Linked DNA regions of Sus scrofa. The protein of the gene in region 1 purifies or fractionates together with the protein of each later gene. This does not show direct contact. Links are inferred from orthologs where the notes say so. Each region holds a gene or a part of one and is shown in the gene's direction. Other genes may lie near its edges. The genes, in order: BCAP31, CYB5A and VDAC1.

Region 1 (8,472 bases):
ACCTGCAAGGCCCCTTTTCAGTGGGCCAGGTAAGGGCCATCTAGGGGTCCAAGGTGCAGTTCCTGGCCTGAAGGCATTTATAGCTGGGCAGCCAGATAAGGAGCAAGTGACCGAGCGATGGAGGCCGACCAGAGGACAATGCAGCCCGCTGAGAGCAGGCGCAGGGGCTGCCATGGGAACACCCAGAAGGGGCCCCGGGGAGGTTCACTAGAGGCTTTGTGGGGAGGGTGGTGACTGAGTCGGGTCTTGAGTCATCAGCACGGGTTCTCAAAGAGGAGGGAGAAGCCATGTCAGCCCGCCGGGCTGACATGCAGTGACACGGAGACCAGGCAGGCAAGGGCTGACGTGTTCCAAGAGCAGCCAGTGTTTTGGTGTTACTAGAGCAGGGGACCGTGTGGGCAGTGAGGGGACAGGAGCCAGCTCTCAGAGAGCTGTGGGCAGGTGGCGGAGGGATCGAAGCAGAGGGGCTTCGTGGTCAGGTTGTCTTGGAGGAAGGTCACTCTGCCCTTCCTCGGGGGCACGGATCACAAAGCTGTACGGTCCAGGGGAGGAGGTCTATTAGCAAGCGATGAAAGTCACCCAGGAAAGAAGCCACGGGGCGGCAGGGATGACTGGGGCCCCAGTTGGCGTGCAGACAGGAGAGCTTGGCTCGACCAGCGATGCCCTCAACCGCGGGCAGCGCGGTGCAGGGCCGGTTGGCCTGTCTCAGACGAGCTGAGTTGGACGCGTCTCGGGGCCTCCCAGGAGCCACCGGTTAGCAGGCAGCTGGGTGTCAGGGTCTGGCTGAGATAAATCCTATTGGGGTTGAGATTGACAGGCAGCGACGGTTGCTCGAGGCAGGGAGAGGAGAATTCCCAGGGGCTGAACTGTCAGCTGCGCCAGGTGCTACAGAGTGAGTGCCCGAGGACTCTAGGGTGCTCCTTGGATTGGGCAGTCAGGGCAACCATGGTCCTGCTGGTGGCATGGGCAGGGCAGGGCAGGGCCTGGGGTGGTGTGGAGGGAGGAAGGGAGGAGGGGCTGGGGCTGGCGGGAGGGAGGAATTACCCAGAATCTGGGGCTGGGTTGGAGGAACAGGTCTAACAGGAAGGAAGAGGACAGGGATGGAGAGAAAGACAGGTGGCGAGGCCAGGCACCTCCCCTGGAGGCTCCCACCCTGTGCTGAGGGCGGCCTAGACCCTAAAGGGTGGGGTTGGGGGGTGCTGAGCAGGCTGAGATTTTGGGAGGCCCCCTGAACCCTTCTTGTACTTGCTGCCCTTTGTTTGCCGGGGCTCTGGTTGGCAACTTGGATTCTCTGCAACTGGGGCTGGCCTGAGAGGGCACCGAGGAGAGCGGGGCCCCTTCTCCTCTGCCGTGGTCATCATTGCCGCTACCACCCTGGGCCCGGCCTCCCTGGGTAACTGGGGCGACAGCTGTGGTCACTCATAGTGCTGCTGGAGTCCGGCCCGCGTCAGCCGCCTCCCCAGCCTCGTTGGGGGCAGGGGGGGGGTGTTGAAGGGGAAGCGGCACCTTTGGGCTCGCCTGCTCCTTGCTTGCTGGGCCCGCCAGGTGGCACACGTGCCCTCCCCCCACCCCAGTCGCCAGCTGGGAGGAGCCGCCTGCTCCACTTCGCCGGGATCCGCTCAGGGCTGCCTGAGAGCTCTGTGCCTGCGAGGCTGGGCTTTAGTCAGACTTGCCTTTTTTCCTGGGCTCCTCTGTTGACTGCCACCCTGCTGCTGTGACTCAGGCCTGTTGCTTCTCTCTGGCTCCTGGGCCACTCAGGAGCTCCCTCCACCGCTGAGGCTCCACCCGGCGGGGGGCAGGCTGGTGGGCAGTTGGGGCTGAGACAGGGAAACCTGAGCCCTGGGCCACGAGGTCCTGGTCTCTAATTTTAGAGAGCACATGTCACTGGAAACTCTCCTCTCCTGCCAGGACTCAGTAGCCTGGCCCTTCCCTTCCTGCAAGGGGCCCCTGGAGCCTCTCCCTTAACCAGGAAGTGTGATGGGTGCTTTGGGCTCCTTCCCGCCAGGGGCTCTGCCAGGGCCCAGCCAGGGAGAGCGGGGCGCCCCTTTTGCTCTCCTGTCCCTCCCTAGGCCCCCCGGCCCCTCGGAACAGCAGGCGTCCACGAGAGCCCTGCGAAGGCCAGAGGGCATGGCTGGGAGCAGGCGGCCTCAGCTGCTCTGTCTCCTCTGAGCAAGCCCTTGTGGGAACACCCTGGACACGCTGGGTCTTCCTCTCGTCCCCAGGGCCTCTGCCTGTCCCACGCCTCCTGGAGCTGTGGCTGGCCCGGCCTGTCCCAGGCATGTGGGGAGGTGTGCCTGCCCGCTTCTCCTGTCCTCTTCTCCTGCGAGTTGAGGCCTCGAGGCAAGGTGTCTGTCTGTCGGGAAATGGAGCAGCGCGTGCCCAGCTGCTGCCTGCTTGCTTCTCGAGGCTAGTCTGGGACTTGGTTCTTTGTGTTTTCGTCCCCCTCGCCCTGGCCACCTCACTGCGGCGATGCTATCTCACAGGTGTGCTCTGGGAAGGGGTGAGGAGAGGAGAGTCACTTCCATCTTTCTTGTCAGCCCGGGGAGCGGCTCCCTGGAAATTGCGAGCACGTCGCGGTTGCCAGCTCAGGCCTTGGGGTCAGACAGACAGGTTACATTTGCTTCTGGCTCTTGACCACTGGCTTCCGCCTCCCGAGCCTCTGAAGATGAGATGGGGCAGCAGTGGCGCCCGCCTCACGTCGTCTCGAGGATTCAGCTGGCCTGTTGGAAGCACACCCAACACTGGCTGCTCTTCTTTGCCAGGGCGAGGCCGGCCTTGCACTCAGGGAAGGGGTATCGTGGCTTCTTTAGCACGTCTGGGCCCTGCCCTGGAAAGCACTGGGTTCTAGACCTTTAGGCTGTCGGTAGACCTGGTCCCGAGCGTCCTGTCATGTTCCTGCCTCCTGTGCCTTTGGGGCTGGAGGAGAGCCCCAGGTCTGTGAACAGCCTTTGGGGGGGCGCTGTTAATCATTCTGGTGGCAGAGGACAGCTCCCGGCGCCATCTTTCCCATCGTGTTGCCAGATCCAGATGCCCGTAGCATTTTGCTTGGCTGCCCTGGCAACCCCAAGGGACAGGTCTAGGCCAGAGGCAGGTGTGGGGTGGGAGCAACCAGAGAAGTTCACGCTAGCCTTTTTCTCCCTCTTCCTTTTGCTCATTTCTCCCTTCTTTTTGTAAACATTTCCAGCCTGCTTAGACGCCTGGTAACTCTCATCTCCCAGCAGGCCACGCTGCTGGCCTCCAATGAAGCCTTTAAAAAGCAGGCAGAGAGCGCTAGTGAAGCAGCCAAGAAGTACATGGAAGAGAACGACCAGCTGAAGAAGGTGGGTTTGGCCTTCCCTAACTGCCCGTCCCCCATGCGACATTCTTTATGGGCCACAGTGGCTACTGTTAGCCTCTCAGGCTGGGAAACGTGTGATACCGCTGTTGTTGGAAAAATGGAGGAGCTGGGTGAATGGGCGGAGGCGTCTGAGGGACTCAGAAAGGGGGCACCCTTGCTGCTCTCGCCTCTACCCACTGCATCCAGGCCAGACTCTTCCCTCGTAAAACTAATGACTCCTTAACGAGCTGCGCCCTGGGCTGTGAACATTGGGCAAGTTAGCACAGAAGAACACCAGAGAAGGATTGCTATCAGCCGGGGACGAGGCGGGGCAGTCCTAGAAGGCTTGTCGCAGGAGGTGAGGTGTGAGCCAAGCTGGGAAGGAGACGGATGGCCTTGGATTCGTAGGCAGGATAGACTTGGACGGGTAGGGGCGAGTTCAGGGCCCTTTGGCCGGAGGGAGCTGTGAAGCTTGGAGAGGGGCAGGGAGGGCAATGGTCAATTGGGGGCGACTGGCAGAAATCCCCAGATGACAGCGGATTGAGTCACTGGATGGACTGGTAAACTCCGAAGAGCTGCTGAGAAAGGAGGCAGGGCGTGTGGCCTCCGAGCTGCAGCAGGTGGCCCTGCTGGCCCTGGGCTTTGCCTGGTGGCTGGAAATAAGCAGTGGCCCAGTTCTGCGCTGACATTTCCGAAGGGGCAAGTGCCCAGGGCCGCTTGAGGAATCCCTGCGAGGCCAAGGCCGAAGACAGAGCTGGAGCCCCCCCTCCCCTCCCCTTCCTCCCCCCTCCGCCTCCCCCCCCAGTAACCCCGCCCTTGGCGCTCTTCCCAGGAAGCTGCTGTGGGCGGAGTCAAGTTAGATGGCGGCGACGCAGGAGGGAAGGTGGAGGAAGAGAACAGGAGCCTGAAGGCTGAGCTGAAGAGGCTGAAGGAAGAGCTGGCCGTCAGCAAGCAGAGTGAGCACTGTCCTCGGGTCACGCCCGGCCCCCAGAAGTCTGGAGCCTGTGCCAGTGGCTGCCGCACTTCTCATGCCGAAGTATCAATGAGAGACACGCAGGGGCCAGGAGCGGGGTGGAAACAAGCAGATGGCCCCTGCTCGGCCAGCCCCAGTGCAGCCGGGCTCAGCCCCAGCCGGTGGGGCTTAGTGGTTCCTCGGTGCAGGCAGGGTCCCCACCGGGGAGCCCCAGAGGCCACGTCCAGAGTGTCCCATGCAGCGCCCGGCGAGGAGTGGCGTTGTGCCCCGTCGCCAGGGGCCTGGCGGGGTGGGGAAGGAGAGCCTCAGTCAGAGGTGCCTCCTCCTCTGACCTGGGCATTTCCGCAGCGTTTGTCCCAGGCCGGCAGCTTCCCTGCGATCCCACCCCCTGCTGAGAGGCATGTCCGTTACAGGGGCTGGCGGGGATCCTCCATGTTTTCCCGCTTGCCACAGCCTTGTCGGCCAGCCCTCTGCCACTTTTGGAGGCTCTCAAGGCAGCTTTCTTGAGCAGAGTGGTCTCCCAGGCACCCTGGCTGGGGACAGATTGGGGGTGGCTGCACCTGCTCTCTCCAGCAAAGGTTCCTTTTCCCCTAATCCTAATCTTTGAACGTTCCTCCCTTTCACTGCTCGCATTGTCCACAGAGCTGGAGAAGGCTGAAAACGAGGCTCTGGCCATGCGGAAGCAGTCGGAGGGCCTCACCAAGGAGTACGACCGCCTGTTGGAGGAGCACACAAAGCTGCAGGTCAGCACGCCGCCGCCGCCTGCCCTGTTGGAACGGGACCCTGCCCCACCCCCCGAGCGGGCGCAGAGCTGGCTGCCCATTCTCTCTGCCTCGGGGCGGACCTGTCCCTGGGAGAGGCCTCGGCAGCGGGCTGGCTGCTTGCTCTCTCCCCCAGTCCCCCTTTTCCCTCTTGCTGCTGAGTCTGGTGCCAGTCTGGGTCCAACAGCCGGAACGCTTTCTTGAGCAGGAGGGCTTGTGGCCTGGTAGGGGGCAGCTGCTAACGAAGGTGGCCTTGGTAGCTGGGCCCTAGCCTCGTGCCCAGCATCAGTGCCCCCTTGAGCAAAGCTCCTTTCCTTGGGTACAGTTCTCGTCCCGCGTACACCGCAGGGGAAACGCCAGCCCCGGCTGCTGGCTTCCCGCTGTGGGGGCTGTGGGGGCTGTGGGGTGAGGTGGGGCAGAGAGCTCCAGGCTGCGCTGCTGGTCACAGCCTCCACCTACACCGCCAGGCCCCTCAGACTACCTGCATCCGGAAGCTTGGGTGGCCTGGAAATGGGGCGTGAGGGCCCAGCAGATAGACACCCCTAGGTTCTGACAGCTCGCCTTGGTGCCTGGTGGCCCAAGTTTGGGCACCATGGAGGGCGGAGAGGAGCTGACAGCTTCAGCGCAGGGCAGGCTCCCCAGCGGGACCTGTGCAAGGTGTGCAGAGTCGGAAAGAGCCTGAACTGGGACTTGGAAGGGACTCAAATGCCGAGGTGCCCTGGGGACGAGGGTGCGGGCGAGGGAGGCCCAGGAGGTATTGCTGCGAGGGCGGGGCTCTAAGAAAAGAGTGACAGCGGAGGCTTCCAGCTGTGCCCCCTCCCACTGGAGTGGGGCCATTCCTACCCTGGCAGGCCGTGGGGTGCCGCTGAGGGTGGGGTCCCTCGCTCACCTGGCTACCTGGCATTTGGGGAAAGGCGCACCCTGCTGGGCCTCCCTGTAGGGTGGCGGGGCTGGAAGGCGAAGGGGAGGAGGGCACCCTGCCAACCCACTGCTTTGCAATTTCTGTCCCCTTTGCAGGCGGCGGTAGATGGCCCCACGGACAAGAAGGAGGAGTGAGGGCCCCTGTTCCCTGCCCGTGGCTGGCTGCTTCGCGAGAGCCCAGCCTCCCTCGGCACTTCGGCTCGCTCCCCTCCGCTGCTGTTTCCCCGCGCTGCTTGCAGTTCCACGCGCCCCCAGCATTCTGTAGGGGACCCAGTTCCCGTCCAGGATGAGCAGGGCTTGCTTTCCGCTGGATTGAGCCCCTTTGTGTTACGTGTTGCTGTTCGCGCCTCCAAGGCCCCCTTTCTCTGGTCCTGCAGGAAGGCAGATGGAGCAGGAAGAGTAGAGGTTTCTCGGGGCAATAAAGGTTGTTGTGATGTGTTCGTGGTGCGTGTGTGCTTGTGTGTGTGTGTGTGTGTGTGTGTGTGAGAGAGAGAGAGAGACTGGGGCCGCGAGGAGGCCGCCTTGTGCTCCCTCTCCCCGCAGTGGCCGGGAGGCGGCGGCCGGCAGCTCTGACGGAGGACCCCCGCCCCAGTCTTGGCTCTGGAGGGCCGTGTTTTGTCCCCATTTGCTCTGACCCCAGAAGCGTCCCTCATCTCAGGCTAGGCACAGGCTCGCCCTTGGCCTCTCTGCCCCTCTGCCTCCTGCTCCCCTGCCAGGCCCCGCGTTACAGCTCCATGGGGCGGGTCTGTCCTTTCCGTCTCCCTGGGGGTTGGCCGCTGGGCCCGGGGGAGCTTGGGAGACCCGGTGAACCAGTGGCGCTTCCGGGTGGCAGGCTCGCCTGTCTCCTCTGGGTCCCGTTCATCACATTTAGGACAGATAGAACGTGGCAGAGCGCCACCAGTCACTCCCTGCCCCCCCCCCGAAGGTTTTACAGGATGACCTCTGACTAATGCTGGCTAGGAGAGGAGACTCGCCCTTGGCAGTGACCTACGACTGGCCCAGGGCAGAGCTAGGCTGTGGAGAGGGCCTCCAGACGGGGTCAAGGCCGCCCCCCCACCCCCGCCGCCTGTAGCCTCTTAAACGTGTAGGTGCGCTCCCTGCTCACAGCCTCCCCCTGGGCGGCCCCCTAGACCGGCCTGGGTCGGGGGGCCTTGAGGACGGGGCCGGGGGCTGGGGACCAGGTTGGAGGTGTTCGTGTAGAGTTGGGGGGTTCCTGGGGATGGCGGTGGTGCTGACAGTCAGCTGTGCGTGCTGCCCCTCCTGCCAGCTGCAGGCTGAGGGCTCCCTTCGCCAGTGTCCTTTGCCCACGTTCTCACGAGGGGTGCCGCCCCTTTCTGGGCTGCCTACTGGGTGGTGTCTGCCGGTTGCTATGCTGAGGCTGAGGGCTAGTCCCACTTTTCCAGGAAGTGTTCCCCGACTACCTCGGCCTCCCCAAGCTCTCCCTTCCCTGAACCTCTGCGGGCCAAAGTCCAGACTGCCTGCAGGTTCTTCTCTGGCCAGCCCCGAGTCCCCCTGAACCCCGTCGGTGTCAGGCCTCGGCCTGGGCGGAGGGGAAAAAGCGGCCCCAGGCCACTTCTGGAACACCCTGTCTGGCCGGGGGCCGGAAGAGACAGCGGCAGAGGCTCAGCAGACTCTTGAAGGTGCAAAGCCTAGACTGGCAGGCCGCCTGCAGGAGCTGGCCCCCTCTGGCCCATCCTGAGGGCTGTTTTCCTCCAGCTGCGTCCGCTCTGAGTGGGACCGCGCCCCCACTGTCCCCCACAGCCTCCGCCGTCGTGCCCCTGGCTCTAGTGACCCTGTGGCCTGCGCTGATCCTTCCCTTGCCCGTCTCTCCTGTTAGACTACAGGGCCCTGTGTCCTAAGCTCCTCCTGCAGGGACAGATGCCCAAGGAAACGGTGCCTGCCTACGGCTCTCAGGGCCCTGACCGAGCAGCGTGATCTCTCTTAAGTTCCTTTTTTTGTGAGGGTGATGTTTTCTGAGTCTTTGGTGGCCTCGTGGCAGGTGGCTTGGAGGACAGTTGACAAGAGGTGACGACCTGCGTCCAGGCATGGCTGAGGTCGGGGGGATGGAGATTGTTGAGCTGGTGGGAGCCCAGGGGGCAGTGGCGAGGGCCTGGGGGTGACAGCCGGCCAGGCTGCAGGGGAGTCAGGGGCTGTTGGTGGAGGAGTCTATAGCCAGCAGGGCGCCGGGTGAGGGCCGCCCCGTCTCGGGAGAGCCAGGCTGGCGGTTGGCGAGCCGCCAACTCACGGGGTTCTTGGAGTTGTGGGTGTGGCGAGAGCAGAGGTTTGTAGAGTGAGAAATCTTTAAGAGAAGGGTGGGACGAGGGTTGGGATGCAAGAAAGGGTTGTCAGGCGTCACCAGTGCAGGGCTTGCAGCGACTGGGCCACAGCCGGGTAGGTGACTGTGCCAGCCCAGGCCCTAAAGGCCCAGGTCAAGTTGAGGTTGGGCCTGCTTGGCTGATGCTCCTTCTCAAGCTCTGCAGTGACCTGCCCCCGGCCAGGTT
Region 2 (10,427 bases), on another chromosome or scaffold:
AATGAATGAAAAATTTAAAAATTCAGGAAATTTTGGAAATTATTGCTAATAGATGGGGAATTGTTTGGAAATCAAGTAAATATATGCACTAGAGATACAAATTTTTTTGGAAAAGAAAATTTAACGTATGCTAACATATTTAAAAGATAAATATAATGCAAATTATCCATGTAGATAATTTGGAGTCCTTTTTTGTAGAGTGCCCATTTGTTGAGGGAACTCACTCTCTATGGTTATGACTATATAATGGCAAATTAATTATTTGTGAGTGGGAAGGAAAGAGCTGCTCAAGTGTGTCTTGTGCATGAGTGGCAGAAGGAATTAGAAAAGGAATTAAAAATGTAATAATATGTGTTTATTTTTGCCTTATAGTAGGAGACTGAGTGCTTTCTATAGTATATTTTACTTGAGGAACTTTAGGAGTAGAGTTGGAGGAACTTTAGGAGTAGAGTTGGTTTTCTAAATGTTTATAAAAATTTCTTTGCTGGAGGGGAGGTCAGGAAGGGTTTGTAAATATTTGTATTCCTTTAATTTCTCAGGTTTGTTTCTAAATTTGTCTAAATTTACCTCACCTGGAGCACCTGCCACATAGGATGTTTCCTTATACACTCTGCTTTAGAATAAGGAAGTCTTATTTGGTAATAGCACTTGCTAAAATCTATCGATTGTTTTCTATGTGCCAAACCCTGTACTAAGCATTTATAAGCAGTGGCTTAGAAGAGTTAACTGATTAGGTCAATGTCATGCATAATTTACCAAACCAGGGATAGGATCCAGGTCACTGGCACCAAAGTTTTATTGTTAACCACTTCCTGAGTTATTTGGAACTGGAACTGAAATCTGAAATAGTCTTGACCTTGGATTATAGAGGTAGTCATGCACTGAAGAGATTCATTGTTCTGTCAGAGTCATGGGGAGATTCAGCGGTCTGGAGAACTGTTAGGGAAACAGTATAGGTAATGTAGTTTACTATTTTTAAAGCATTTAAGAAAGTTATAACACTAAGTGCATGTATTTGAAAAAAGGAAAAGTCTTAATAAACTCACACCTTAAGAAAGTAGGAAAAAAAAAAGGAACCGGAAGCAAGTAGAAGGAAAAATTCAGTAAGGAGCAGAAGTCAATGACATTAGGAAAGAAAATAAAAACAATAAAAAGCTAGCTCTTTTTTTTCCGGCTACACCCGAGGCACATGGAGGGTCCCAGGCTAGGGGTCAAATTGGAGATGTAGATGCTGGCCTATGTACACCACAGCCACAGCAACTGGATCCATTCCACGTTTGCGACCTATGCCACAGCTCAGGGCAACGCCAGATCCTTCACCCACTAATTGAGGCCAGCGATTGAACCTGCGTCCTCATGAATGCTAGTCAGATTTGTTTCTGCTGAGCCAGGATGGGAACTGTAAGCTCTTTGGAAAGATAGATAAAACTGACAAACCTCTAGCAAGGCTGACAATAGGGCAATAAAAAGAGAGGTCATATTACTACTACCGGGAATTAAACAGAAGATATCACTACAGACCTTGCAGACATCAAAAGCTAATAAGGGACTACTATGAACAATCCTACACACATAGATTTGATAATTTAGATGAACTGGATCAGTTCCTTGAAAACTACCAACTACCACAACTCACCCAGTTTGAAATAGATTTCAATAGTCTTACAACTACTATGGGAACTAAATCCATAGTTTAAAACTTCCTGAAAAGGAAAAGATAGGGAAAGAGAGGGATAAACTGGGAGTTTGGGATTAGCAGATACAAACTACCATATATATAGATATTTAACCAGAAGGTCCTACTCTATAGCACAGGGAACTATATTCAATATCTTATAATAAGCCATAGTGGAAAAGAATATGAAAAAGAATGTGTGCATATACATATATAACTGAATTACTGTGCTGTACACCCAAAAGCTAACACAACATGGTAAATTAAGTATACTTCAATTTTTTTAAAAAAGAGTATTAAAAATTATACATCATAGAGAAGTGTGATTTATTTCAGAGATGCAAGGCTGGTATAATAATGAAAGTCAATGTATTCCACACTACTCAGCCATAAAAAAGAATGAAATAATGCCATTTGCAGCAACATGGATGCAATTAGAGGTTATACTAAGTAAGTCAGAAAGACAAATACCATATGATATCACTTACATGTGGAATCTAAAATATGGCACAAATGAACCTCTCTACCAAACAGAAACAGACTCACTGACATAGAGGCCACACTTGTGGTTGCCAACGGGGAGAGGGAGGGAGTGGGATGGACTGGGAGTTTGGGGTTAGTACATTCAAATTACTACATTTAGAATGGATAAGCAGTGAGGTCCTGTGTAGCATAGGAAACTATATCCAATCTCTTGGGATAGACCATAATGGAAGATAACATAAGAAAAGGAAAGTATATATATATGTATGATTGGGTCACTTTGATGTACACCAGAAATTAGCACAACATTGTAAATCAACCACACTTCTAAAAAAGATCAACCCCCCCCAAAAAAAAACAAGAAAGAAAATCAGTGTATTCCATCATACAAAAAAAGCTAAGGACTATTGGGAATGTCAGCAAAAATGTCTTTTCTACGGCCTTGCATTCCTACAAAGGAGGAGGTAAGCAATGGGACAGGAAAAAAGTATCAGCAGCTAATGTGAAAGAACTGTGCTTAAAATCTTCCTATGGGTGCCAGCTGGGGAGGTACTGTTTTATACTCTTCCAAAAACTGTCAATCATTTAGGATTTATCTTAAACAATATACTGTTGAGAAAAGACAAAGAAGACACTAGTACAAGTATTCGCATAGTCTGGGTCAACAGCGAGATAACTTATGTCCTAAGTTCTTTAGGACGATTTTGCTTTTATAGAACAATTCCCCCGGGTTTGTTTTTCCTGTGAGAATGGGGGCAGTTCTGGGGTGAGGGGAATTGGTCAAGCAATTGGGCAGTAAGTACACTCGTTCTACGGAGGCTAAATGAGAGCACTGGTTGTTTACCACATCTCCTCTCACCGTAACAGATCACCTTGACACTCAGTTCACCCTGACACTAGCAACGGAACGAATTTGTTACAAATTAATGTCCAGGTCTGGCTGATCTGACCTGATTGGGAAATCGCGGCGATTTTGTTGTGTGGTCGTTGCCCTGCCAAGGTGGACACTGCGCCTGCCACAATGAACCCTCCTTCGCCAGCCACTCCACCCCACGGTCCCGGGCTCCCGCATCATCCCCTTCTGCGCAGACTCGAAGGAAGCCCCGCCTCCGCTTACTCCCACAACCGTGAACATGGAGGGCACCTTCGGCAGCCAATTAAAACTCGCATACTGGGCGGGGCGCTTTGGGGCTGGCAGAGAACGTCGGTCGAGCTCGCCCTTTGAGTGACACGAGTTCTGGCCAATCATCGGAGGTCGTGCTTCGGCCGTCCCCCTCTCCTCTGTCTGCCGCCCGGCCCAGTTGGGGAGCTGGGACCAGGGGAATGTCCCGGCCCGAGTTCGCCAGGACTCCCACTCTGTTCCGCTCATCTCTGCCGCTGTCAGCAGGGCCTGAGGTTCGCCGCGTTACGAAATGGCCGAACAGTCCGACAAAGCCGTGAAGTATTACACCCTGGAAGAGATCCAGAAGCACAACAACAGCAAGAGCACCTGGCTAATCCTGCACCACAAAGTGTACGATTTGACCAAATTTTTGGAGGAGGTGAGTTTGTGAGGCAGGATGCTGGCCTAAGTTTGGGGGGTTGCCTGCCAAGACCTGTCGTTTGCAGCATGTCGGGATAGACCTGCACGCCTCTATATCCGCACCTGAGTGTGCGCACCCGGGAGTGTTTGCTGAGTCTGCACACCTGGGAGCGGACCCTGAGTTTGTACACTTGGGTCTGCGTGCCTCCGTGTGCATCCCCGGAAGCTGCACACCTGTGTGTGCACACCTGAGGGCGACCGAGGGTGCGTAAGTTAGTTCTGCGGCTGGATCAGCGGTTTTAGCAGTCTGCAGCCCTCCCTTGTAGGGCAGGGACTGCCTCCGGAGACCCTGCGCGGGCGTGTAAGAAAGAACCATTTTGAACTTAGAGGGAAACTGAATCGCATCTGGAGCTGCCTTCCTAAGAGCTCAACCACGGAAGGATTTTAAAGATCTTTTATCCTTGAGTTTACACAAACCAGGGCTTCATCTAGGACAGGGGTCCTCCCACTTATTATTTCTGGAGTGGATTCCTAATTGGACCCAGTTGGAGATCACCCACCCCGAGAGCTGCTCTCCCCCTGGCACCTACAAGCCAGCCCCACCATCCATGCCCACCATCTAGAAGGCGCCCAGTGATTGTAAAGGTATCTAATGATAACTTCAGTGAGGTACAGTATTGGACTCCTTCGAGTCAGTGTGGCGGGCTGTGTGTGGCTTTGATGAAGAGAGGAAGAGGGACAGAGAAGTAAAAATTGCCAGTGGGACTTGATCCTTAAGCAACTTTGGAAATTGTAAAAATAACTTTGCTTAACTTAGAGGAGAACATTCCTTTGATAAGATTCTTTGCATTAGATTATAATTTTTGCAGTAAATATTGAGTCCCCCCTCCCCCAACTCTGGCTGTGAAGGAGTTTGAGTCACAAATCTTAAATCTTAGTATAACACTCCTTCATTCCCCCAGACAATGAATAGGAATGTTTAGTGGAATTCTTCACATAGTTTGTGAGAAAAATGTAGATAGAGGCCTGGTCTGAGCTGGGTCACAATTTCTATCAAAGGACATTTGTTTTGTAGAGAATGTTTTAAAAAACTTTTAAAGGTTGAAGTTTTTGTTTATTGGTAAGATATTTTACTGTTGTCTTTAGGTGATGTGCCAGAAGGTAAAACAGTGTCCCAATACAGTTAAGAGTGGTTTATAGTAGGGAGTCAGATCTGATCTGGCCCGCCCCTTCTGCTGAGCTATGGAGCTTATTTGCTATTAGAATTTCTTCAGCTAATAATCCTGCATCATATCATCAGATCTAACTGATATCAAATGTCTGTTTAACAGCTGTTCTTCCCAGAGTTCCCGTCGTGGCTCAGTTGTTAACGAATCTGATTAGGAACCATGAGGTTTCGGGTTCGATTCCCAGCCTTGCTTAGTGGGTTAAGCATCCGGCGTTGCCGTGAACTGCGGTCTAGGTCGCAGACACGGCTTGGATCCCATGTTGCTGTGGCTCTTGCGTAGCCGGTGGCTACAGCTCCGATTCGACCCCTAGCCTGGGAACCTCCATATACCACAGGAGCAGCCCAAGAAAATGGCAAAAAGACAAAAAAAAAAAAAAAAAAAAGCTGTTCTTCTCCCTTCCTATGGTATGTGTAATTTTGGAATTTTAAGATTCAGAGTGTGCTTTCTTTATTTGTGTCTATTAAAAAGAATAGCATATGGGAGTTCCTGTCGTGGTGCAGCAGAAAGGAATCCAACTAGTGTCCATGAAGTTGCAGGTTCTATCCCTGGCCTCTCTCAGTGGGTCGGGGATCCAGTGTTTTGACGTGAGCTGTGGTGTAGGTCACAGATGCGGCTCGGATCCTGAGTTGCTGTAGTTGTGGAGTAGGCTGGAAGCTTTAGCTCTGATCTAACCGCTAGCCTGGGAACTTCCATATGCTGCAGGTGGGGCCCTAAAAAGCAAAAAAAAAAAAAAAAAAAGAAAAGAAAAGAAAAAAATAGCACTTATGAAAAAATAATAGGGTATTTTATGTTACAAAGCATTTGCCATTTTTTCTTTCTTTTTTTGTGGGTTCCGTCTTGTTCAATGTGTTGTGCAGAGGGCCTCCATGGTCTCTCCCAACCAGTTGTCAGTATCACTGCTCCCCCTTCTGTTTTTGTGATAACCGAAAATGTCTCCAACTATTGTCACATGTTCCCTTGGGGACAAAAATGTCACTCCTAGTCAAGAACCATTGCCCGAGGATGTATCTTGCATAATTTTTTATGGGTACGTTTCTCAAAAGGAGATAGGAAGGGAAGATTATTACACTTCACTATAAACCAATTACTTTTACATTTCATTCTTATGAAGCAGTAAAGGAATTGCACAGTTTTCTAAGCCAAACTGCAAACCAGCTGTTCAGAGGGTGAATTAGTTGACAGCAGATTCCTTTATTTCTCACTCAGTTTTCAAAACTCTCTCTCTACAAGTAGTTTAGGAAGAACACCTCTCAAGTAAAATGTGATGAATCGGTTTATCACTAATATATGATAACTAATACTTACAGTGAGATAACTTAAAAACTACTATTTATAGTGAGGTAAATGAAAACAAGTTTACAGCAGTTCCTGTATGCTTAAGTTTCCTCAATTGCTACTTGGTAAAATGCTCCCCAGAGGAGCCCACCTGTGAGTTGAATTTGGGACACCACTGTTTTCTGGTACTCACACCCTTCCTTCAATTAGTTTATCCGGTATCTGCTGACTTCTTATAGTGGAGACAAGAATTTGAGAGGAAGAGATATCATTTCTACCCTCAGAAACTTCCATTTGAGTAATAACACAGAAAACAATGCTGTGGACGTATGGGGGTTATAACACAGAGAGCTATGTTGTGTGGGCCAGAGCCTAGTTCAGTGGTGGGGATGGGACTGGGGTGGCTGTGTGAGACATCAGCTCTGGGCCTAAAGTCATTGATGACAGACCTGCTCCCAGAGCTGGCCTGGATTAAGAAGAAAACTGGCTGACACTGTGAAATGGGACCAATCAGAAGAATAAAGACATGCAGGAGGACACTTGCCAACCTGTTCTAGCTGGTCATCAGCAGTGCCAGCCTTCCCAGAACATCACATTCTGGGGGTCGTGTGCAGTTTTTACTATCTGTTTTCACTTTCTGTGATCATCTCTGATTAGTGCAGTGTTCTAGTCTTTGGCTTCCTGCCCTCAGCCCAGCTATCCAAGGATTCCCTGCACCTTAAACACACATCTCATTCAGAGACCTACTTGCAGGACACTCAGTGTTTCACTTCCTAGATCCCTCCTGTTCCATTACTTTATTAAGCCAGTGCTATTTACCTCATCCTTTCTTCTGAAACAGAAGGGAGCCTCAAAGATCTGTCTCTCTCCTCTTGCCTTGCCCCCTTTTCTTCCATCAATTTAAAAGCTCCAGAAATTCATGAAGCCTTTACCTGGTAACTAAATAATATCCTACTTTCCCTAATTTACCCAAATATGAAAGAAGTTCCTTGTTTGTTTTTTGGTTTTTGTCTTCCTACCTCCTAAGTGGACTTTCAGTCATTATGGGCTAGATCTCCTTATATATCATAGAAACAAAATAATGCAGGTTAAACATACAGCATATGGTCTGCACAGTAAATGCAAACTCCTCTACCAGTACAGGTCTGGGTTAGGCATGGCTTTCTTTCCATAGCATCGTATGTAGCTGAGTGCTAATATGAAATTCTAGGTAAAGGTATAAATCTGGCAGGTGATGTTGAAACAAAGAGAGTTTTATACAAATTATACCCTTCTGGCTCAAGAACACAGGTGAAGTTTCTAAGTTGTGCAATGAGCTCCACCTCTGGAAATAATGGCCATATTAAGCTGTTTTGTTTTCCAGAGGAGGGTAGACACCTGAGAGGGAGGACTGGCTCCTTTATTGCTGGTGATCTAAGTAGCAGCAGGTGTTTTGTTACTGTCTGATATTGATCTCCAAGGTTGTTAGCCTTGTTGCCTAAGTATTTTGAAATAGGGTTTTTTTTTAGTTTCGTGGGTTTTTTTTTTTTTTTTTTCCAATTCTGGTTTTTGCATTTACATTTGTGAAGTAGAGTCTTGTCATTCCTGATTATGTTATTAGCAAGGCTAATGATTGTAGAGCTTTGCATGAAAATGTAGGCATTTAGGGCCAGGAGAAAAATTGATTTACTTTTCCCTTTCTGTGATTTTGGGCAGTAAACATTTATTTTTTCAAGTTTTTACAAGTACTGTGGAATAAGAAAAGAAAGTGTCATATAATTAATGGCAGTAATATTAACTTGCTTTCAGTTCAAGTCATTAGATGTTTAATTTGTGAAATAGACATCTTCCTAAAAAAATACCATAAAGCACAATGCCTTTGTGTCAAACTGCCTCTCTCCTTTATGTGACCAAAATGGAAACTGATTTATATAGAACATTTTCTGGTGACCCTGCGATTCTGATGCCCTGTATCTGCATCTTAGATGTTCTTTAACAGCATTCTGCCTTCTAAAGCTGTTGGCTCCTGACTCACTTTTGCTTTCAGAATCTTAGGCAGTGTTCTTTATAGCAGGTTTTGTTGTTTCCCTTGAACATGGCTGCCTACTTTGCAGAGACCAGTGATTCTAAGCCTGTGGAGCATCGATGCCCTGGAGATTCAGGAAAAGAGTTTGGGTACTTGAAATCGGTGTCCTTAGTTCTGAAAAACAGAGGACCCTGTATCTTTACCCTTGGTAGGACTGCCATATTTAGTGCTAAAATCCTACATTTTTGATAATATCCTGAATCTTATACTGAAAAACTGTAATTGCAAATGTCTTTGATGATTGTAAGATGGAAAAGTTATTATCTAACATATGTAGTTTGGTAAAATTCAGAAAGTATGAAATCCATAGGAGGAAAATATAAAGGCATCCTTGGTGGTAAAGGTGGTTCGGGCATCTTGGATAAATAGGCATAAGAGACACATCTCACAATGTACCATGTGGTGGACGTGAGCCTTGGGCAGGGCCTCTTTTATACATTTCTACTCTGTGTGTGTGGTACCTTTTTGCTGCTTTTGGGAAGAGGTTCCAAGAGTGCTTGTGAAGCAACTTTGTTTTGAAAGAGTTTAAAAAAAAAAATCCAACACTTGACATTATTGACTTTTGCTTTCTGTTTATCTTTAAGGCAGTTAGAAGTTCTAACTAAAGAAGGCAGAATGGATTATGCAGGTCAGTTTGGATAAATCAAAGAATAAATTATGCCCATTTCTACTTAATACAGATATCTATTGTGGACTAGAGCTGACAACAATGCTGACAACTAGAGCTGACAACAGCCCTAACCCTCTCACCCTCACCCTAACCCTCTATACACTTTTTTACATGTTGATGCTTATCACAGGGTACCCATGGTGGCCATACTAAGTGACCACAGTAACACAAGGACTCACACACCAGGGAGAGCTTGTTTTCCTCAGGTCTTGGTTCTCTTTAGTAATTGAAGAGACTCGGTTGATTACTACCCATCTCCTCTCTTGATTTATTTGGGTGTGTATTTTTGTCAGAAAAGGAAATGTATGGAAACATTTTTTAGCCCCTTCAGTATATAAATTCTCTTAAAAGTGCAGCTGTAGCAAGTAATATCATGTTTGTCCTAAAATTGGCCATTGTTGTCAGCACTAGTCCATGTTAAAGCACTCGGAAAAATGGCCTGAGGTAGCAACAGACTTAACTGAGGATTTAAGTAGCAGTGGCTCAAAGCCATAAAGTTTTGAACTTGGTTTTTTTTGGGAACAGCCACTTAACTTGTATTTTATTAGCTGGCTGCTTGTGTCTTTCACTGAGTCCTGTGTGGAGACCAGGAGAGTGATGTGGCACTATGTTCACACTGGGTGAATAGAATGTGGCCTGTGTGGCCTGTTGGTCAGTGACCTCTGGTTAGTGAGATCTGATGTCTCGGGGGTGATGGCAGGAGGTCACTTACTTACCCCATGGAATGAATCATGTCTCTAGTCAAGCCCATGAGTTCATCACAGCCAGATGATGGCAATGAACAGGCACTGCTACTGAGAAGACCTGAAAGCAGAATGGACTTGGTGGAGGGTGGCATTAACTGCCTCTGAGCTCAGTCGGGGGCCTTCTGTGTCTGGCATGCTGGGGTGGCAGCATGTGGCCTTTCTGTGACGAAGTCCCCCTGGGTGTGTCAGTTTCTACCTATTTCTTTGAGAATCTGCTATTGGTAACCCTTGGCAGGCTGTTTGGTGAGCTTCACACGGCTGTGTCAAAAAATGGCCAGGATAGGAAGTACATTCAGCCTGCCTTTCCCTCTTTCCATCTTCTTCAGAAAATGTTAAGTAAATGCCGTCCACACTCCCGCCCCTGTGGAAGTCCCCATTGGGTTAGCAGTGAAAGCACTAGCAGTGGACACTTCCTGAACATTGGCTGACATTCAGCATGTGCTTGACAGAATGCCAAATGCTTTTTGTGTGTAAAACTCTTCTTTGCCTTTGTACTTTTAATCCCGGAAACAGTCCTTTCAGATTGTAGGTGGTGGTAGTAGTGCTCACCTTTTTAAAGTAAGAAAAAAGTAGCTTGGGAGGTTCAGTAACTTGCTCAAGTTACACATCCAGTGAGGACCCATACCAAGATTTAAATCAGGGACCAGGACTGCAGTGCTTCTGTTAACTCTGTGACTAGGGCATGAGACCTAAGATAGCTAGAACAGCTTTCAAAGAAAACAGCCACTCAGTTCGGACACAGTTGCTATTTCTTGCCTTGAG
Region 3 (10,396 bases), on another chromosome or scaffold:
ATCTTAGGGTATCGTCTTCTCCATCTGCTTTATTTCATTTAGCGTAATAACCTCACGGTCCATCCATGTTGTCATAAATGGCCACATTTCATCTTTTTTTTTTTTTTATGGTTGTGTCGTATGTACACACACATGAATACGTACATGCACCATATCTTTGTTATGCATTCATTGGTTGATTTCCATGTCTCGACTATTGTCAGTAATGCTGCAGCGAGCATGGGCATGCACTTATCTTTGCAAATTAGTATTTGCACATTCTTTGGATAAAGACCGTGAAGTGGAATGGCTAGATTATTATATGGTCATTTGAGTCTTAATTTTGGGGAGGAATCTCCATTCTCTTTTGCACAGTGGCTGCCCAGTTTGCCTTCCCACCTGCCGTGTATGTGAGTTCCCTTTTCTGAAGACGCATAGTGGCATGGTCGGGGGGGATGCTGCAGAGACAGACAGGGAGTGGTTTGGAGCTGATCCAGGTGGAGGGCAGGGCCAGGACAAGGGTTCAGCCTCCCAGGCAGTGCAGGCAGGCTATTACGTAGGATACTGAATTCTCTCCCCTCTAGTCCTGACCTGAAAAAGCAGGGATGGCAATCACTATTGTGACGATAAAATTGTTTTTGAAGGGGGGTCCTGAGAACTGTGTTGGGTGCTGTTTGCACTTGTAAGAAAGCTGAGCTTCTCAGACAGGCAGGCTGTTTCAGTCCTGTCGCATCAGTGCCGCCGGAGACAGGAGGTGGGGAAAGAGGAAGTCCCCACGGAAAGCAGAAGGGGAAGCTGTAGCCACAGGGCCTTTGGGGGCCTTTGGTGGAGGGGAGTCAGCCCCTTGCCCCTGTTGGTCCAGGAGTGGCATTGGTTCCTGTGCATCTTCCTTGCCAGGTGCTGTGCTGGGGCTGCAAGGGGAGCCTGGCTTTATGTGAGCTCCCTCTGCTGTCCCACCTCTCCTGTCTTTGGGTGGTAATCTCCTTAGTGGCCCCTTTAGGGCGATGCTTGCTGTGGCTGGAGTGTTTTTTGACAGGTGGCTTTGCTTTCCAGTTTGGGGGATTAGGGATAAGAGAGGGCGTTTGGGGAGCATTAAATGATGAGTGTTCTGCTTTTTTCCTGAGGGATGGACCACTCCAGATGTGACAGCTGCCTGTGCCAGCTGGGGTGGGTCCTAGAGCCAGGGGAGGGTACTCGGGAAGGCCCTGACCCCTGAGGTACAGGAGGTCTTAGCTGACCCGGAAATAGTGCCATCAGGCCTCACCTGGCTGGGCTGAGTTTGTGACCCATTTGGGTAGGGGGCACAAACCAATACCTTTGAGTGCTCACGGGGGTGGAGAATGTTCTGGGCCCTTTGCTGAGATGTTCTGCACATTTCCTCGGGCTCTCTGACCTCACTTTTCGATCCAGGGTTGTTTCATTGCTTCTCCTGGGGGTGGTGGTGGTGGGGCAGGCGCATCTCTGGCTGGGCCACATGCCTAAGGCAGAGGGTGTCTCTGGGGGACCTGGCGGATGGTCTCCTGCTGTGTCCCTGGGGGCGGTGGAAGGGGAACAAGTTGGGAGAAGGGGGTCCGCAGACTTGAAAGAGCCAGTGAGAGCAGCCTAAAGCGGGTCTCTGCCCCTGTTCTCTGTGCCCTGATGCTAATAGGGACTGATGTGCCCATGGTTCCAGCCTGATCATGTGTAAAAATAACAACAGCGACAAAACTAGGGGAGCGTCAACAGCTTCCTGGGCTGTTCCTCTCCGCTCTGACACGAGAGGGAGCCGAGACACAATTGGCAAAACCTCTGAAAAAAAGTAAAAGAGGTCTTGGACCGTATTTTTGTAATTTAAAATTATTGAAGTTTACTTTTTATTTTATTTCTTTTCTCTCTTTTTTTTTTTTTTTTTTTGTCTTTTTGTCTTTCTAGGGCCGCACCTGCGGCATGTGGAGGTTCCCAGGTTAGGGGTTGAATCAGAGCTGTAGCCGCCGGCCTACACCAGAGCCACAGCAACTGGGGATCTGAGCGGCATCTGCAACCTACACCACAGCTCACGGCAACGCCGGATCCTTCACCCACTGAGCAAGGCCAGGGGTCAAACCTGCAACCTCATGATTCCTAGTCAGATTCATTAACCACTGCGCCACGACGAGAACTGCAATTTTATTTATTTTTTTAACATGATACTCATTGGTTCTGTGGGTTCCCTGCCGTGTCTGAAGTGAAGGCTTTGCTCAGGAAGGCACCTTCCAGTTGTGCTGTTGTTACCCTGGGATCCCTTGGACCGTTTTTCGGGGGGGGTCCCCCTCAACCAGGAACATGCCCTGTGGGTGTTTGTGTTAGTTGGTAAGGATGTGACTTTAGATGGGGTGTACGCAGATTCAGTTTGGTAACTTAGATACATTGTGTTAAAAAGGAGCAGACCAGCCCCGGGTTAAGTGAATTTCTGGCTGATTGAGACCCACGATTTTGAGGATGGAGAAGATACAGAAGTTGGAGCTTTCTCATGGTCTCTTCTTCTGGATGGAACACAGTGTGAGCTGTCTGGAGTAGGGTTTTCATTCTGTACATAATGTGTCATCACAGAGCCTCCCAGCAGCCCAGTGTGGTCCTCAGATAGGGCAAGGACTATTTGAAGTTCCTTGCCTTTCTTGGAGTTCCCGTCGTGGCTCAGTGGTTAATGAATCCGACTAGGAACCATGAGGTTGCGGGTTCGATCCCTGGCCTTGCTCGGCGGGTTAAGGATCTGGCGTGGCTGTGGCTGTGGCTGGTGGCTACAGCTTGGATTAGACCCCTTGCCTGGGAACCTCTATATGCCGCGGGTGCAGCCCTAGAAAAGACAAAACAAAAAAACGAAAAAATAGTGAAGTTCTTGTCTTTCTTGAACACCGAGGTGTTTAATAAATGCTTGTTGACTGGCTTAATGATATACAATAATCCCAAGTAGTACTTTGATAATTGGTTTTAAAAATGAAGTCATCATGGAATTCAATAAATTTTTGTTTGAATCAAATTTGAGGGGGATGTGGTTGCATTTCCTTCCCTATGAAGAGTTGCCTACTTAGGTTTTATTGTTGGTTTTTTTCTTTTTTTGCTTTTTAAGGCCACACCCACGGCATATGGAAGTGCCCAGGCTAGGGGTCCAATTGGAGCTGCAGCTGCTGGCCTACGTCACAGCCACAGCAATGTGGGATCCGAGCAGTATCTGCGACCCACACCACGGCTCACGGCAACGCCAGATCCTTAACCCACTGAGCAAGGCCAGGGATCGAACCCATGTCCTCATGGATCCTGGTCAGGTTTGTTACTGCTAAGCTGGGACAGGAACTCCAGTTTTTTTTTTTGTTTGTTTGTTTTCTCAGTGCAGAATATGATATCCCTGTTGATTCCTGTAAAATGCAAGTTTTGGGGTAATTTGGGTCCATTCTGACTCGCAGTAGGGACTCCATAAATATTTGTTGAATGAATGAAATTCGAATCTTAGGGAAAATCAGTTGTTCTGAAAAGCTCTGATTTCTATTTGTTGTATTAATGTCCTGGCAGTCGATATTTTGTAAGAAGATACGTTATATTGGCAAGAGTCCTGCCGTCGAGTGAAGTAGCTGCCTTCTGGGAATGCATCTTTGACAGTGAATTCATTTAGCTGATGTTGCCTGACTCCTCCCGTCTTCTGGGCCTGTGCTCAGTCCCAGGGATGCCTAGGAGAAGAGGTCCAAAGTCAGGCTGGGCGTTCCCGCTGTGGCTCAGCGGTTCACGAAACTGACTACCATCCAGGAGGATGCAGGTTCGATCCCTGGCCTCACTCAGTGGGTTAAGGATCCGGCGTTGCCGTGAGCTGTGGTGTAGGTCACAGATGTGGCTCAGATCTGGCATTGCTGTGGCTCTGGTGTAGGCTGGGGGCTACAGCTCCGATTAGACCCCTAGCCTGGGAACCTCCATATGCTGCCGGTGTGCCCCTAAAAAGCAAACAAACAAACAAAAAAACTAGAAAAAAAAAAACCAAAAACCCAAACCCCAAAAGTCAGGCTGGTTTGCTCTCAATAAAACTTATTGGGCATTTTAAGCTCTGGTCACAAAAAGAAGCAGCAGCCAGCACAGGCCTCTCCGCCTGCCACTGGGGGAACTCAGTGCTGATGATTTTTATTGGTGGAAACTCATAGCCGAAATTACCAATGTGTTTATTTTGGTGGTTTTTTTCTGGCAGCAGAAGATGGCTGTGCCTCCTACGTATGCCGATCTTGGCAAGTCTGCCAGGGATGTCTTCACCAAGGGCTATGGTGAGTGTCGCACGGAGTGGCCTTCCAGCTCGGAGGCGGGGGTGGCATGTTTGGGATTTTGCCCATCAGAGTTTGAGAGACTGGGGTCAGCTCGCTCTCAGACCTTTCATGTCAGGGAAAAAAAGATAAGCCTTCTACGGCTGGCCGAGCAGTTGTGGTTGTGCACCCAGTGCAGGTGGGCTTGCACATTGCTGCCAACAAGCGGGCGTTCTTGTTTCCTCTCGCAGGCAGGGAGCAGGTCTGTGGCTGCCGCTGCAGTGGATTGCAGCTTCTAAATTTAGCTTGTCCTTAGACATGTGCCCACGCGGTCATGCACCTTCTTCTCAGACTCCGCTGGGCGTGCAGGTGGGGCCTGGGCCTGTTCTGTCGGCCACGGTTCCATGGCAACCAGCCCCCCCCCAACACACGCAGCAGTGGTGACTGGTGCCCTCACACTCAGAGCGTGTTAAAGCAGACCGAGGGAGGCGGGGATGCTGTTTTCGAGTGAGTTATTTAACCTGCTAATAGCTACCATCTCCTCTCTTTAGGATTTGGCCTAATAAAACTTGATTTGAAAACAAAATCTGAGAATGGACTGGTAAGTTGTCTGGCCCACGCGGAGCATGGGTATTTATGCAGATCAGTATATAAAAAATAACTTCCTTCGGGGTGACCAACAAAGGGACTCTTCTGATTGTGGCAGCTTGTAGCTGTCCTTTGCATTGCATCCTTTGTAGGATTTGTGGTCCAGGGGAACCATGTGACCAGGTCCCCACTTCTTCAGCTGGATTCTAGTAGGAATATGGGGCAGGCTTCAGTTTTATTTTTCCTTATGCGTCTTATTTCAGAATCAGCCTCTGTTCCATACCATGTGATTACTTAAAATCTTTTTTTGCTTTTTTTTAGGGCCACACCCACGGCATATGGAAGTTCCCAGGCTAGGGGTCCAATTGGAGTTGTAGCTGCTGGCCTACACCACAGCCACAGCAACGCCAGATCCGAGCGGCATCTGCAACCTGCACCACAGCTCACGGCAACGCCGGATCCTTAACCCACTGAGCCAGGCCAGGGATCAAACCTGCAACCTTATGGTTCCTAGTCGGATTCATTACTGCTGAGCCGCAAAGGGAATGCCTAAAACAAAAACCTTAGTCTCTTTTAGATTGTACATGTGGTAATTGTTCGAAGAAGGATACTTCGGGTTGAATTCCTGCCACGTCAGCTTTAGCTCAAAAGCTTTTTCTCTCTAGGCTGGAGGCGGGATGGAAGGATTGCCTTCCTGTCCAGACTGAAGCGTTAACAGGGGAGGAAGGAAGCCGTGTCCTGATAAAGAATTCTCTGTAGTGGAGTTCCCTTGTGGCGCAGTAGGTTAAGGATGTGGCATTGTCACTGCAGCAGCTCCGGGCCACTGCTGTGGCACCGGTTCAGTCCCTGGCCTGGGAACTTTCGCATGCCTCGGGCACGGCCAGTAAAAGAATTCCCTGTAAGATTCCTTTCATTAGCCGGCTCCATCTGTACTTGAAATATCTCATTGAATTATCGAGTGAGGCTTTTCCTGCACGCATGCAAGGTGTCACCTCTTGCTTAAAGGAGAACAGAGGCCACGTAGGGGTGGCGTGGACTTGCTGCGGGGCTCCCAACATTTAGGGGGGGCGTGATGCAGAATGAAGCGTTGGCATGCAGGCCGTGACCCTCTTTCTTTTTTTTAAAGGAATTTACAAGCTCAGGTTCAGCCAACACGGAGACCACCAAAGTGACGGGCAGTCTGGAAACCAAGTACAGATGGACCGAATATGGTCTGACGTTTACAGAGAAGTGGAACACCGACAACACCCTGGGCACGGAGATTACCGTGGAAGATCAGGTAACTCGCCAAAGACGCGGTGTGACTGAGGGGCGGCTGCCGGCCCGTCTCGTGACTAACCCTGCTGGCGAATTTCTTCTCTGTTCAGCTTGCCCGTGGACTGAAGCTGACCTTTGATTCATCCTTCTCACCGAACACTGGGTAAGAATCTCATCCACCGTCTCCCTAAGGACAGCTAGCCGTGTCTTTTTTTATTTAATTTAATTTCTTTATTTTTCTTTGCCATTTCTAGGGCCACACCCGTGGCATATAGAGGTTCCCAGGCTAGGGGTCGAATCGGAGCTGTAGCCACTGGCCTGCGCCAGGGCCACAGCCACGTGGGATCCGAGCCGTGTCTGCGACCTAGACCACAGCTCATGGCATCGCCGGATCCTTAAGCCACTGAGTTCACCTCATGGTTCCTAGTCGGATTTGTTAACCACTGCGCCACGATGGGAATTCCTAGCTGTGTTTTATAGTGAGATTCTGTGCTGTGATTGTTCTGCTGGCCTCAGCTTGGAGGCTGCAGGATTTCTGGTCCAGGAATGCTGCATTCCCTGGGACTGAGGCTGCTGGTAATGTGAGTAGCCAAGGCCAGGGGGTGGCGCTGGGAAGCAGGGGCTAATGGGTCCCTGTGGCCAGCCCCCTTTCTTAGGCTTGATGGCCCTTTCCCCACCTTCTTACTTAGGGACACTGAGAGCATGTGGTCTTAACTACAAGGTGGCTCCAGAGGCTGCCTTTTTTTGCTCCAGGCCCTGGGGCCACACACAGATCAGACTTGTTGGTTATCAGGAGGAAAGGCGGGGAGTTCCCGTTGTGGCTCAGTGGCTAACGAATCTGACTAACATCCATGAGGATGCAGGTTCGATCCTTGGCCTTGCTCAGTGGGTGAAGAATCCAGTGTTGCCATGAGCAACAGTGTAGGTTGCAGACATGGCTCAGATCCCACATTGCTGGGGCTGCGGTGTAGGCCGGCAGCTGTAGCTCCGATTCGACCCCTAGCCTGGGAACCTCCCATAGGCCGTGGGTGCAGCCCTAAAAAGCCCAAAAAAAAAAAAAAAAAAAAAAGGGAGCAAGGGGCCTGCTGCTGGTCTGCCTCTGTTCCTGGTACTTTTCAAAGTGGCTAGAGGGAGTTGTTCTCTTCTAGAACACACTCTTGTTTTTTTTCCACGCAGAGCCGTAGGTCTCCTCATCCTGGAAAGGTTGTTTTGCACGCGGATAACAGGCTCAGGGCATGTATGGAATTTCATTTCTCAGTTTTTTTGTTTTTAAAAATCGTGGTAAAATGTACAGAAAGTTTACCTTCTCGGCTGTCTTTGAATGGCACTTTGAATTTAATTTTTTGCCATCCCGTATTTTCCTCTCTCCTCCTTTTTCCCTCTTCCGACACCTGTTTATTAGAGGGAGGCCCTTCCGAGCTCAGACCCTTGGTGCAGGCTGGCCACGGGGACTGGGTACACAAGGTTCCTGCCTCTGGAGGTTATGCTTTCTTTATTTTACTTTATTTTCAAATTTTTATTTATTTATTTTTCAACTCGCATCACTTGTATTGGTCATATATCCAGAATTCATTATATAAATCTTTCAAAATAACTAGATAGTACACGAATAGTTTACTCTTCAGCTCTGATTGCACAAAGACTGACTTGACACAGGAAAAAAAATATGGACCAAGTCACGAATTAGTGTGTCATCCTTGCGCAGGGGCCACGCTCATCTTCTCTGCATCGTTCTAAGTTTCGTATATGAGCTGCCGAAGCGAGCACTGGCCGTTATGCTCTCTTTCAAAGTTGGTCGTGGATGGTCTGAAGACCATTGGCCAGGAGCTGAATTTACTCTTGTTCTCACCTCTGCTGTAGTTTCTCTCGCGGGACTGTCGCCTTCTTGCTTGTCCACCTCCCTCTAGGTCCCCTCCCACAACAGCACAGGTTATCCAGAGAGACACTCAAGAACTATAATACAATTAGCAGAACCAGGAAATGTATGTCGATAGTATATCATTAACTAATCTGTTGCCCTACTGATGTCTTATTTCTGGTCCGTGATCCGGTTCAGGATACTACATTACACTTAATTTTCTTTTTTTCTTTTTTGTCTTTTTTTTTTTTTTTTGTCTTTTTGCTATTTCTTTGGGCTGCTCCTGCAGCATATGGAGGTTCCCAGGCTAGGGGTCAAATTGGAGCTGTAGCCACCAGCCTACTCCAGAGCCACAGCAACGTCCGATCTGAGCCATGTCTGCGACCTACACCACAGCTCACGGCAACGCTGGATCGTTAACCCACTGAGCAAGGCCAGGGATTGAACCCGCAACCTCATGGTTCCTAGTCGGATTCGTTAACCACTGAGCCATGATGGGAACTCCGGGACCGTGACACTTTTAAAGAAGATTGCCCCTTATTTTGTAGCATACTTCCGTTTGGATTTTTCTGATGTTTCCTCCTGGTTATGCATTTTTTTTTTTTTTTTTTTTTTGTCTTGTGTATTTTTGTCTGTTGTTGTTGTTGCTGTTGTTGCTATTTCTTGGGCCGCTCCCGCGGCATATGGAGGTTCCCAGGCTAGGGGTTGAATCAGAGCTGTAGCCACCAGCCTACGCCAGAGCCACAGCAACGCGGGATCCGAGCCGAGTCTGCGACCTACACCACAGCTCACGGCAACGCCGGATCGTTAACCCACTGAGCAAAGGCAGGGACCGAACCCGCAACCTCATGGTTCCTAGTCAGATTCGTTAACCACTGCGCCACGACGGGAACTCCTCATTTTTTTTTGCTGATGTTGTGGTTTCTTAGGGCCGCACCCACAGCATATGGAGGTTCCCAGGTTCAACTTCGACCTGTAGCCGCTGGCCTGCGCCACAGCCACAGCAACACCAGATCCAAGTCACATCTGCAGCCTACACCACAGCTCACGGTAATGCCGGATCCTCAACCCACTGAGCGAGGCCAGGGATGGAACCTGCGTCCTCATGGATACTCGTCAGGTGTGTTTCCGCTGAGCCCTGCCGGGAACTCCCTGGTTATGCATTTTTGACAACCACAGATGTGATATTGTGTTGTGTCCATCCTGGTGTGTGATAGCAGGAGGTCTATGTCAAGGTGCCTCATTACTGGTGACATTACTTTAATCACTGATTAAAGTGGCATTTGCCAAGTTTCTCTAAAAGCTACTATTTTTCTCTTTGTAAGTAACAAGTATCTTGGGAGATGATTCGAGACTGTGCAAATATTCTATTTTTTTATACTTTGACTCACAACTATTAGCTTCCACTGGTGAGTTATGCCTGCAGCAGTTACGTTTGACAAATAATGATTTTCTGTTCCCACCATTCCTTCTACATTTATTAAATCTGAATTTCCTGGAAGGAAGCGCTCTTTCTTCTCCACCTTTTATTCATTTAATCATCTATTTGTTTATATCCGTATGGATTCATGGACAGTTGTTTTAGTCTGTGGGTTATATTCTGTTAATCTCATTTATTTTGTTACCTGTATTGTCCTCGATGTGGCCATTGGGAGGGGCTTCAAGTTGATATCCTGTATCCCTTTTTTTTTGGCGAGGGGGCTGTTTTAGGGCCTCACCTGCAGCATGTGGAGGTTCCCAGGCTAGGGGTTGAAACGGAGCTGCAGCTGCCAGCCTACACTGCAGCCACAGCAACGCTGGATCTGAGCTGTGTCTGCAACCTACACTATAGCTCATGGCAACGCCGGATCCTTAACCCACCGAGCAGGGCCAGGGATCAAACCCACAGTCTCTTGCTTACTAGTCGGATTCATTTCCCCTGCACCACGATGGGAACTCCGATATGCTGTGTAGTTTTGACAAGCCCCTGTCATTTTTTGGACTGCTTCCTCAGAACGGGTGCCAGGTCATCTTCTCCTTGCCCTCCGTAGCCCCGCTCTCAGCCGTTTCTCCAGGGAGCCTTGGTTCCTTTAATTGAAGACGGATGATTAGAAACCAAGATTGTGGGCATACAGTGTAGTCCCTGCTCCTGGAGGCGAAGTTTTGATAACTTGATGGAGATTGGAAATGAGAGCTGGCTTTGCGCAGTGGCTGAGGGGTCCAGCCGGGAGCGTATCCTGGCTTCCATAGGGAGCTAAGCATCCACATCTGGTTGTGGCCGCAGACGGCCCTCATCCGTGGACCAGCCCCACACCGAGTACCTGTCACGGATGAAGCCAGCTTGTGAACCACAGAGCGGAGTCATGCCTCTCTCAGGCGCTTATCAAGTTACCACCACTCCTTTTTTTTTTTTTTTGTCTTTTTTTTCTAGGGCCGCTCCCGTGGCATATGGAGGTTCCCAGGCTAGGGGTCTAATCAGAGCCGTAGCTGCCGACCTGAG

What was found.
Region 2: the proteins of BCAP31 (region 1) and CYB5A purify together in Homo sapiens (co-immunoprecipitation; 4 studies listed by BioGRID and IntAct, with this or other methods). This does not show direct contact. The link is inferred for Sus scrofa from reciprocal best matches to the Homo sapiens genes BCAP31 and CYB5A.
Region 3: the proteins of BCAP31 (region 1) and VDAC1 purify together in Homo sapiens (affinity purification with western blotting; 3 studies listed by BioGRID, with this or other methods). This does not show direct contact. The link is inferred for Sus scrofa from reciprocal best matches to the Homo sapiens genes BCAP31 and VDAC1.

The regions. Positions count from the first base shown.
Region 1 is NC_010461.5:124,454,938-124,463,409, reverse strand, and holds the end of BCAP31 (B-cell receptor-associated protein 31), read left to right. Parts: intron 1-2,809; exon of another isoform or gene 2,810-2,933; intron 2,934-3,184; coding exon 3,185-3,320; intron 3,321-4,148; coding exon 4,149-4,272; exon of another isoform or gene 4,273-4,931; coding exon 4,932-5,254; 3' UTR 5,255-6,067; coding exon of another isoform or gene 6,068-6,106; 3' UTR 6,107-6,411; downstream 6,412-8,472. UniProt on the Homo sapiens protein: Functions as a chaperone protein. Is one of the most abundant endoplasmic reticulum (ER) proteins.
Region 2 is NC_010443.5:149,734,190-149,744,616, forward strand, and holds the start of CYB5A (cytochrome b5), read left to right. Parts: upstream 1-3,494; 5' UTR 3,495-3,570; coding exon 3,571-3,699; intron 3,700-10,427.
Region 3 is NC_010444.4:136,314,384-136,324,779, reverse strand, and holds the start of VDAC1 (voltage-dependent anion-selective channel protein 1), read left to right. Parts: upstream 1-4,171; coding exon 4,172-4,238; intron 4,239-4,765; coding exon 4,766-4,815; intron 4,816-5,928; coding exon 5,929-6,081; intron 6,082-6,169; coding exon 6,170-6,222; intron 6,223-10,396. UniProt on the Homo sapiens protein: Non-selective voltage-gated ion channel that mediates the transport of anions and cations through the mitochondrion outer membrane and plasma membrane.